Yarrowia lipolytica: one gene and its partner. The protein of the gene in region 1 purifies or fractionates together with the protein of each later gene. This does not show direct contact. Links are inferred from orthologs where the notes say so. Each region holds a gene or a part of one and is shown in the gene's direction. Other genes may lie near its edges.

Evidence for each region.
Region 2: the proteins of YALI1_B30146g (region 1) and YALI1_E08271g purify together in Saccharomyces cerevisiae (affinity purification with western blotting, with the first as the bait; 3 studies listed by BioGRID). This does not show direct contact. The link is inferred for Yarrowia lipolytica from reciprocal best matches to the Saccharomyces cerevisiae genes PBP1 and KOG1.

What each region holds. Positions count from the first base shown.
Region 1 is NC_090771.1:3,011,844-3,016,524, reverse strand, and holds YALI1_B30146g (uncharacterized protein), read left to right. Parts: upstream 1-1,855; coding exon 1,856-3,925; downstream 3,926-4,681. Other genes in the region: YALI1_B30163g (uncharacterized protein), read right to left, coding at 1-104, 170-186; YALI1_B30162g (uncharacterized protein), read left to right, coding at 309-986; YALI1_B30123g (uncharacterized protein), read left to right, coding at 4,179-4,681. UniProt on the Saccharomyces cerevisiae protein: Involved in pre-mRNA polyadenylation. May act to repress the ability of PAB1 to negatively regulate polyadenylation. Negative regulator of poly(A) nuclease (PAN) activity.
Region 2 is NC_090774.1:825,163-831,709, forward strand, and holds YALI1_E08271g (uncharacterized protein), read left to right. Parts: upstream 1-2,002; coding exon 2,003-5,932; downstream 5,933-6,547. Other genes in the region: YALI1_E08253g (uncharacterized protein), read right to left, coding at 1-123; YALI1_E08334g (uncharacterized protein), read right to left, coding at 6,186-6,547. UniProt on the Saccharomyces cerevisiae protein: Component of TORC1, which regulates multiple cellular processes to control cell growth in response to environmental signals. Nutrient limitation and environmental stress signals cause inactivation of TORC1.

The sequences.
Region 1 (4,681 bases):
CGGAAATGAGAGTATTGTCAGTGAACATTTGGGCGGTGAAGAAACAGGTCAACGGTAAGAGGATCATGCATGCTGTGAAGAAGACAAGCTTGTTGAGAACGGATCTGTGTTAGTTGTTGCGACAGCCAAGTAGTCAATGCCACCCAATGCAGTGGTAGCAGATACTCACCTTGGGATGTCGGCCATTTTGTGATGTGTCTGTTGTTTTGCGTGATGTGTGTGTTCTGATGTTCGACGTCCAACTTACTGTATTGTAGCGTGGTGATGTGCGGGAGCCTGCCCTTAGTGAACCTTGATGCCAAAGCTAAATGAAAATGAGACGTGCGTGTCTAACATTGACACCCACACTGAACGCGATAATGAAGCCGAAATTGACGAAGAAGCGAAAAACGGTGCGAAGGAGCGCACTGAACAGACCTCTGGAGACCGATCAACGGCTCCAGGTTGCAACTATTCTCGAAGAAGCAACTTTCCCCATACTGGCAAGAGCTCACAGCGAACCTAAGAAGGTGCGGATATCAGAGGACCTGGGACACTTGCAACGACGTCTTTCGAGACGTCTCGACCGGTTCCCCGTGCCGAAGTCGCTCGGCAATAATTTCGACGCTTCACATCAATACACTCAGATGGAAAAGCTTGAAAACAGCGGAGCCAAGCTGGCACAGCAGATTGAAGCACTGCAGGAAGTGACGCGTCGCCGGACAAACGAGCTGGCCAGAACTATTGAACAGCACCAGAAACTGGCTCAAAAGAGTCTACAATTGGACAACCAGATTGAGGAACGAAGGGGGAACCTCCATGCACTTTTACAAGGCAGTGCGGAGAATGTGGCTGAGGAAAACGCAGCTATCAGCTATCGATACTGTGAGAGAGATATCGATAAGGAAGTGCTGGAGCCATTGGATCAAGATCTTACCAAAATTGTTGATATTTTAGACCATTCGAGAGTCCTAGAAGTGTCTGCGAAGGTGGATGAATTCTTGTGAAGGACTGCGAGTTCCAGTGAACACATCCTTGCCCACCAACGTACTGTAGCTACAGTACAAGTACTCACACAGTACATCCGGTATTTGTAGAGAAATTATTTATTGAATTATTTATTAGAAATGTTATCAAACTAATTGCTATACAATACTACTTCATGCTGCAATGTAGACGAACATACCCGATGAGTGACATCAGACCTACCGATCTGTATGGACTGTACAAATAGTCATGGGCACGTGACTGGTAGTGTGCCAGCCCCAATAATGTAGCCTTCATCTGGTCCATTGGTCTTAGAAACTCGTTCTTTTGAGGTCAATTGGAACCACCTGCCACGCAGAATGTATGCGAGATATATAATGGAATGATATGAACTCTTATGTTGCGTTGGCTGTGTGAAACTCCCGCGTTCCTTATCCCTTGAGAGTGTATACAGTAGACATGATGATAGCTACTGTATTGACAACGGTTGATTAAATTAAGGATCTGTGGGATAGGTAAGGTCAGGGTTCTGGGGTCTTTGTGCTTGCCAAACTAAGAGCGGATTAAGCCTGTATATTCCGTGCAAAAAGGTGTGTGCCCATATTTCTTGCCTAACGCAGGAAAAACTCGTGGACTTGTATCAGAATTGAGACCACATTAGCGGTACTCGTACAGCTACAGTACTGTACGTACAAGTACAGTATGTGCAATACGTATGTAGTCTGTGTCTGTATTTCACACTCCAAAAAGCGACTACTTGTAGATTCGGGCTAGGTTCACGGGAATCGAATAATATGACCTCAGGTGGGTGTTCCCGCTGTGTAGTTGTAATTGAGGGGCCCCCGTTACGGCCCATATATATATTTCGCATAAAATTGAACCTCGTTTCATGTGTGCACTGTTGTGTGTTGCCCCACTGCATGCGTCACATCAACATCACGTACGTAGTACAGTAAATAGTCCCAGCGAGGGGGGCGCATTTGAGTTTCCAATCTTCCACATCACCACTCTAAGGAAGCATCGGCGTGTGCAGCCATACGAGATGGCAGAGATCAAGAAGAACCAAAGCGGAAGCCGCCAGCGCAAGTCCGTGGGAGGGGACCGCTCTGACCGCTCCGATCGCTTGGACCGGTCCGACCGAGACCGGGGCGATAAGAAGACGGCCAACAAGTGGAAGCGACCTGAGCCCAGCCCCACTCACGCTCGCCACATGCACGACCGACTGCTGTTTTTGCTAGCCAAGTCCGTGGGTGAACACGTTACCGTTACCACCGCCTCCGGCGACTCTATCCACGGCTTGCTGGAGGGAGCCTGCACTGAGGGCGACTTGGGAGTCAGCATGCGGTTTGCTGACTCGGGGGCCAAGCAGCTGGTTTTCCAGCCCGAAGACATTGTCGACGTGGCTGTGGCTCTATCCGCGCCCTTACAGGTCGACCAGCGCAAGTTCCGAACCGACACAGACATCAGTGGCCGGCGGGCAGTGGCTGAGCGAGAATTGGAGCGATGGACTCCGGATGCCGACTCCGCCACCTCTGCTCTGACACTCGAGGAATCGGGCACGGGCTCCTGGGACCAGTTTGCAGTCAACGCCGACCGATTTGGAGTGCCCTCCACCTACGATGAACACCTCTACACCACCCGTATCAACACGGAAGGTCCCGACTACCAGGCCAAGATGCGACGGGCCCAGCGATTGGCAGACGAGATTGAGGGCCAGACTGGAGGAAACGCGCATCAGCGAGAGGAGCGAGGAGACACGGTGGATGACTCGGGCATGGACGAGGAAGACAAGTACTCGGGAGTGGACCGAACTAAGACCTATGTTCCTCCTTCTCAGCGAGCCGAGCTGCCCCATGACCCGGCCATCATTTCTGCCGGAGGACTCAGGAAGCCAAACCCCACATCTTCCCAGCCGGACATCATGTCGAGACTGGAGCAGAAACTGGTGGACTCGGCTGCAGTGCCCAAGCGCAACCGAATCCCCGGACTGCCTCTCAACGACCCCTCTGCAACAGCCGCTCCCTCGGCCTCCAAGAAACCCGGATTCGAGAAGGAGCTGGCGTCCCGATACCAAAAGTTCATTGACTTAGAGCGAAACCGAATGGTGTCGCAGAAGGAGGCTGCCAAAACTCACCATGATACCGCCCGGCTCAACGACCTGCGCAAGTTCTCACAGGATTACAAGATCAATACCCCTGTTCCCGAGGACTTGCGTCCCATCCTGGCCAAGGACAAGTCTCGAGACGTTTCCGAGACCACTTCCCCCGAGGCGGCCAATGCACATCTGGACCGAGTGGCTTCGCCCATGTTCGACTCACTGTCCTCCAAGCTCTCGTCCATCCAGATGAGCCGGGAGGCCGACAAGAGCTCCGAAAAGTCGTCTTCACCAGCTGCCGCTGACAAGAATGGTGGAACAGCTGCTGACAACAAGCCTGAACCCGTGGCTAAGTCGTCGCCATCAAAACCCAAGTTCAAGATGAACTTCAAGGCGCCCGAATTCAAGCCCTTCACTCCCAAGGACACCAACGCCCAGCTGGCGACAGCAGCCGCTCCCGAGCCCAGCTCTCCAGCTTTCTTTTCTTCTACGCCAAAGACGGACCGGGCGCCTCTCAGCACCTTGTTCAACCCCTTCAAGAAACCCAAGGCCGAAAACACCCCCTTCCCTCGAGCATTTGAGACCCACCCGACCTGGCACACCGTGGAAGCGGCAGCAGACTCCTCTGTTCTTTTCCCTCCCTTAGAGCAACTGACCATGCAGCGCCCCTTCCTTCACAACGCCATGTCTCCCCAGCGGGGCGGAGCCGTGATGATGCCGTTCTACCAGATGCCTCAGGGAGTACCGCCCATGATGTATCAGTATGGCCCCCAATTTGTGCAGCAACCTTTTGGACCTCCTGGTTACCGAGTTCCCATGCCTCCTGGACAGCCCCCTCAGGGCTACATGCGATACCAGGGTTAGTATGTAGTGAAATAAAGAAAAATGAGTCGATATATGATTACACAAAACTAGTGGTATTTGAATGCTGAACAGAATAGCAGGCTCTGTATGCCCAGAATTTCTTCCAGAAATGCTTCCACTGTGTTTATATGCTCCCCTTGTTCGCCTTCAGTGTGTACAAGTAGGCTTGAGAAGCGTGCATGCTAGATGCGTCCACCAACCTACTGTACTTACATTTCTTCATATGAAGTGAAAGCTACACATACACACCACTATGAATTGGGAAAAGGGTCCCGTCTGTGGCATCGACAATTGTCCCTCGGACTTGTGGCGGTCGGCTGCTGGTCGTACCTTCTGCAGATACGGTCATCAGCGCCAAGACGAGTATGAATACGACAATCAAGACGAAGGAGACCTGGGTGGAGGACGAAAGGTGACTATAGGTTCGGTGAGTGCCATGAAAGATGGAGAGAAGGAGGAGCAACGATGGTTTGGTTCACGGGTCTATGCGCTTCGTGCACAAATCTTCCAGGAGGTGCTTCGCTTTTACACACACTGGGCCATGCAGAAATTCGATTTGGATACCGACTTCGAGGAGGTGGTGAAGGAACTGTGGAGTGTCTTGATCAAGTATACCGACTTCGGACGATCGTCTTACGACCTGGAGGGTGGAGTGCATTCCGAGCCATGCGATACAGGTACAAGCACTCCACTGCTACTCTCTCAGAAAATGGCCATTGAAATCATGTATTTGGCTCTCGTTCAAGTCGGCTATCC
Region 2 (6,547 bases), on another chromosome or scaffold:
GCATGCAGAGAGGATTTTTTGGCCTACCGTCACCGAGGGCACGGGAGGTGTCAACGGGCTGGTTGGAGGAACAAAAGCCTCGTCTGGACGATGCTGGTGGATTTTGTGTACCAGAGGTGGCATTTTGGGGTGGTGAGAGTGAGAAGTGTTGTGTTGCGGTTATAATGTCTTGGTTGAGTGTAACGATGTAATGTCCTTGGGGTGCTGTTTACAACCGTCACCTTCCGTGTCTATCGTCTTGTGTCGTTCGTGTCGCTTGTGACTCTACCGCACTTGTGACTCCTCTGCTGTAACAGGTCTAGTTCAAGTAGAATGATCCACCGCGGACTCTTGCCAAATGTTGGTGCTGAAACTTCTAACTCTATCTGTCCCGTGCAGTGGTGATGGCGATGTGCAGTCACGTGGGACGGGGACTGGTTTGGGAGCAAGTCGCGGTGGTGTGGGTCGCACAATGTTATATAAGTGGGGCGCGCATGTCGAAAAACCGCTTCCGTTATAGCTACGACGATAATGTGGCTCTCTATACTGGCAGTGTGGTGCACCCATCTGTCCATGGCGTATCTCCGAACCGTGCGTCTCTCCCAACAGTTCGCTTTAACTATAGTATGTGCATGTACGATATCTGTCAGCGGGAAAAGTTACTCCATGGACCCAAAGGGAAAGTTACTCCAGCTCGTTGGGAGCGAGGATGTAAAGGGCAGTTTAGTGCGGACTGGAGAACAGTTCTGCATGCGGATGACTCGGAATGATTCGGGGTGTCAAGTGCGGCCATGTACTGTACGTACGATATTCACAGGTGTCGGCATAGGCTTGGTTTTGGGTGGTGTTGGATGATTAACCAAGAATCAAGTCTTGTTAGGAGTCGGTTGGACATGGCTTAGAGTAACACAAGGGCACTATACATGGAGGGATAATGGAGGACAAGAGATATATATGAAGATGGCGATGAGATATAACGAGTACTCAGACAGTTCTGGATAGAAGTTGGTTGAATGAAGACCTTGTGACAGTATGTATGAGATCCGAAGATCCAAGGCCATGGTCACCTGAATCATAATTTTTTCGACATCAAGATATCACCAATGTTGACCCAAGGACGTCATTAGTCATTGGACTATTTTCGGCCTGTGGAGATAGTCACCTGTAGGTACAGTACAGTACATACTATACGACGTACGGTATGTACAGTATGAAACCGTGCACGCGCTACAATTTCTCGTCAAGTACGACTATCGTAAGTATGTACTCCTCAAGTTGAACCTCCGAATACACTTCGACCGCGACTGAAGCCGCCATGGTACGATAGGATGTCTGGGTAATGATCAAGAAAGCGAAATGACATCATACTCCAGGGTCAGCTCAGCAAGCCCGATTTGGGCTGTTCTGACTTCCCCTGATTTACATATCTTCAGTAAATATTACTTAAATGTTGTCCGCTATCGACCCACTCGTATCATGCATGTCCCATACGGCACTGGAGATATCGACGGTGTAGAAGCGGCCAATGCACCGGTATTTGTACAATACACAGTACATCTAGTGACATCATGTATCGAGGCAAAGGACAGTCCCACGACGAAGGTGGTCATGTGAGTCTAACCATCCACAAATCGGTTTTTTTTGTTCATTTTATTCACGCCTCAGTTTGTCGACATCTCACTCACTCCACCAATAGTAGAACATTACCCCATATCGCAATCTAAAGTGTTCACTCCTAATGGTATGCAGCGCACTCATATAGTGTCTCGTGACAGCGATAGATGGGAGTACCCAAGTAGGCGTACACATACATTTTTAGACGGGAAAGGCGGTTAAAAATATACACCATGTCCCACTACCACAAAAAACGATCTTTACTGTTGTCTAAATCACCTACAACAGTCTCAACTCACCAGTCCTCAAGTCTCCTCTAAACCACCTCTCAAACTCAAAGTCACACCTCCACCACTACATCACCGCACATCACACCAGTCACCCCATACTTGCACCTCACATCTCTGACATGAACGGAAGTGTGACATCGGTGCAATCGGTGCATTCGCCACAACGCCGGATGGAAGAGGATGAGACGGTCAAGTCCACCGCTTCCAAAACCTATGTGCGCCATGGATTTGACGACGACTACGCCAGTGACGCCTACATGTCCATGTTGGCCGAAATCTTTTACATCTACCTGGACGACAAACGCCACGACACTGCGGGCAATCCGAAACGGTCTTCTGCCGACGGCCCGCCCGAATGGCGCATGAAAGACCGACAGAGAACAGTGTCTGCAGCCATTGTGGTGTGTCTCAACCTGGGAGTGGATCCTCCAGATGTGATCAAAACCGACCCCTGCTCGCGACTGGAGGCCTGGGTGGACCCACAGACCATCTCAGACTCCAAGAAGGCCACGGAGCAGATTGGAAAACAGCTACAGATGCAGTACGAGGTGCTGTCAATGCGAACCCGGTATAAGCAGTCGCTGGACCCCAATGTGGAGGACATTAAACGATTCTGCATAGGACTGCGACGAGGTGCTAAGGAGGAGCGAATTCTGTTTCATTACAATGGCCACGGAGTGCCTCGACCTACAGCTTCGGGCGAAATCTGGGTCTTCAACAGAGGCTACACACAATACATTCCTGTGTCTTTGTACGACCTGCAGTCGTGGCTGGGCTCGCCATGCATCTACGTGTGGGATTGCCATAGTGCCGGCAACATTGTCTCTAACTTCAAGCGCTTTGTTCAGCAGCGTATCAAGGAGGACGCTGATGCACAAGCACCCAATGGTGTGACCAGTGCAGCTTCAGGAAACGGAAATGCCTACCTCGATTGCATCCAGCTTGCAGCCTGCCGGGCCGACGAGACTCTGCCCATGCACCCAGACCTTCCGGCAGATCTGTTCACGTCATGCCTGACGTCCCCAATTGAAATTGCTGTGCGATGGTTCGTCATGAAGTCTCCCTTGGCTTACGGGAAGAAGATCAAGGATCTGCAAATCCCAGGAAGAATTACCGACCGAAGAACCCCCCTTGGCGAACTTAATTGGATTTTCACTGCCATAACCGATACGATAGCCTGGACTTTGTTGCCTCGCGACCTGTTCAAAAAGCTGTTTCGACAGGACCTGATGGTCGCAGCGTTGTTCCGAAACTTTCTGCTGGCAGACAGAATTATGCGGGTCAACTCATGCCACCCAGTCTCGGACCCTCCTCTTCCTCCCACCCATTCTCACCCTATGTGGGATGCGTGGGATCTAGCAGTCGATCAGTGTCTGACTCAGTTGCCTGCTTTGGCTGCTGGACAGGAGTATCGCCACTCGCAGTTCTTTGAGGAACAACTGACAGCCTTTGAGGTGTGGCTGCGATACAATGCTCGAAGTGATAACCCACCTGTTCAGCTTCCTGTTGTTTTACAAGTGCTGTTGTCACAGGTCCACCGACTACGAGCGCTGATCTTGCTCTCCAAGTTCCTCGATCTTGGACCCTGGGCTGTCTACTCGGCGCTCTCTATCGGTATCTTCCCCTACGTGTTAAAGCTGTTGCAGTCCCCCGCTAAGGAGCTAAAACCCGTGCTTGTTTTCATCTGGGCTCGAATAATGAGCGTGGACCATCAATCCATTCAGCACGAGCTGCTCAAGGACAATGGCTACGCCTACTTCATCCAAATTCTTCTCCCCTTTGAAGGATTTGCCGTTAACAACGTGAACGTCCATGACCACAGAGCCATGTGTTCTTTCATCATCGCACTATTCTGCCATGGTTTCAAGCAGGGTCAGCGGGTCTCAATGGGTGCTGATCTTCTCCGGGTGCTCGTGGTTTACGCAGCTGAGCCTGACTCTCCACTGCTTCGACAGTGGTCCTGTTTATGCATCTCCCAACTGTGGTTCGACTACCTAGAGGGCAAGTGGCTTGGAATGAAGGAGAGAGTGCCCCAGAGCCTCATTGTGCTGCTTGAGGATCCTGTTCCTGAGGTCCGAACAGCGTGTACTGTTGCCTTGACTGCATTCCTTGGCAATGGAGACGCTGATCACATTTCCCAGGATTTCAAGGACGTGGAATGCGAGCTTGCTAACGCTGTCCTCAAGCTGACTGACGACGCCAGTGGTATTGTTCGAAGAGAAGCAGTCGTATTCTTTTCGCGTTTCGTCGTCCAGTACCAAGGTCAGATTCTGGTTGCTGCGTTTGCTACTCTCGAGCAAGAAGCTGCTGCTGTCTCCCAGATGAACCTCAACACCTCGTCCAATCCTGCCACCGGTACCGTGTTTGCTGCCGTGTGGGAGGCCGTTCTGACATTTGCAGAGGACCCGTTCACCGAGGTGCGTGACTTTGCACGTGACGTGGTTGATCACGTCTTGTTTGAGATGGGCCAGTCGCCTCTGGGACCTCGAATGGAGCAGCTCAAGCGAACCATGCTGCAGGGAGCCGAGTCCAAGAAACAGCTGCCTAGCGTTTCCAACCTGATTCCTTCGTCAGAGTCACATCATCATGCTGCTGGTAGTCCTGCTCCCCAATCTCCTGCGATGGCTCCTCTAACGCCTACTGCATCTTCCACCATTCAAAATGCCATTGCTGCCGACAGGGCAGCTTCTTCTCCTCTCAACTCGCTCAAGAGGTCTGTCTCGAAGTATCTATTTGGAGACAATGAGCCCAGTGGAACAGCAGCCCAGAAAACGGACTCATCTGTTACAACTGTTCCTTTTGGCACGGGAACCATCCCCGTGACACCTCGTTACACATCGCGAGCTGCAGGATCACGTGCTCAACTCCCTCTGAAGTCCGGGTTTTTTGCTTGGTCCACGGAGTTCTTCCAAGAGCCTCAAATGGTGCCTGCGGAGGCCGACTGTACTGGTTCACAGCGGTACACTGAGAGACTGTGGCGAAAGACCCGCAACGAGAGAATTATCTCCGAGTCGGTGCTTCAGCGAGACGAAGCTGTCAAGGGCAAGTGGGATCACTCTCTAGGTGTTCTCAGCAACAAGACGCAGCCTCAGAAACTCGTTTTTGCGCAGTTTGAGCCACATCTGGCAGTAGCTGACGACCGAGACGGTGTTTCTATCTGGAACTGGGCCGAAAACAAGCGTCTGTCGCGGTTCTGCAACGCCAATCCTGCAGGAACCAGAATCACCGACGTCAAGTATCTCAACGAAGACGACGTTCCCATGCTCCTCACAGCCTCCTCCGAGGGATGTGTGCGAATCTACAGGCACTACGAGTCGCGTCAGGATGTGCAGTTAGTGTCTGCTTGGAGAGCTCTTTCGGGAGTCGGTCTGCAGGCCTCTTCTCCCGTAGCTGTAGATTGGCAGCAGTCTCGAGGAACACTGTTGGTTGGAGGTCCCACACGAGTGGTTAAGGTGTGGGATGCTCCCCGAGAGATGTGCATGGCTTCCATTCCTGCTCGGTCTTCTGCCCCTGTGACTGCCCTCACCTCCGACCAGGTTGCTGGTCACATGTTTGTGGCTGGTTTCGCGGACGGGGCTCTGCGTCTGTTTGATCGACGAGTCGATTCTCGAGACGCCATGGTCAAAATCTGGAAGCTATCTCGAGGTATCAGACACTCTGACAAGGTGCTCAACGTGTGCATGCAACGAGGAGGACACCGAGAGCTGGTATCTGGTTCGGCAGACGGAGTCATCAGTACATGGGATATCCGAACAGACACTCCTCTGCGGTCTTGGATTGCACACACCAACGGCATGAAGGCCATGGACGTGCATGAACATGCACCTGTGTTGGTTACGGGCTCTCAGTTGGTGCGAACGTGGGACTTTGATGGTCACATGACCTCGGTAAACAAGAACCACCCTGGTTATATGACCCTTCCCAACCGGGTAACCTCGGTTAACGCTTTGTCGTTTCATCCTCATCGGCTGGTGATGGCATCTAACAATGTGAATGACGGCACTGTGATGTTGAGATCGTGTTCGGGCTTTCTCAAGAGTGATTTCTAGTTAGTTTTGGCTATTTAATGCATTTTAATTGTACCTTAGGTCAACTGCATAGTTCCGGTTTCAATATATTGTACAACTGCAGCGTATACCATAAGTGTACGATACTCTTCGACCACCTCTACACCTACAGTATGCACTATGTACTACAGTATCTGACTCATCTTGAACTTACCCAATCCAAGTACACGGGTTCATACTGGTATACACATAAATATCTTGCTCTATATACATACGGCCTGGTTCAGACCTAATTTTACGCGTCGTTTTTACCACCCAGATGCTTGTTCTTGTGAACATACTTCAACAAGTAAAAACACACACTGTTAGAGATGCCCTCGATTCGCTTAGCTTGTCCGAGAGTGGCTGGACGAACTTTATCGAGAACGGTTCGATACTCGATTTTGAGACCCGCCATGGACATGTAATCGAGGTTCTCAGGAAGCTTCAGGCTTTCATCTCTCTCGACAGAAGCAATCTGCTGGCGTTCCTTATCCAAGTACATCTTGTATCTGTACTCGGTGGTGACTCGAAGAATGAGACGAGGAGGGTACTTACTGAGCTCAGGCATGGTGGCAAACAGGAGATCGTCATCAATGCCTTTTACAAGGAGCATGT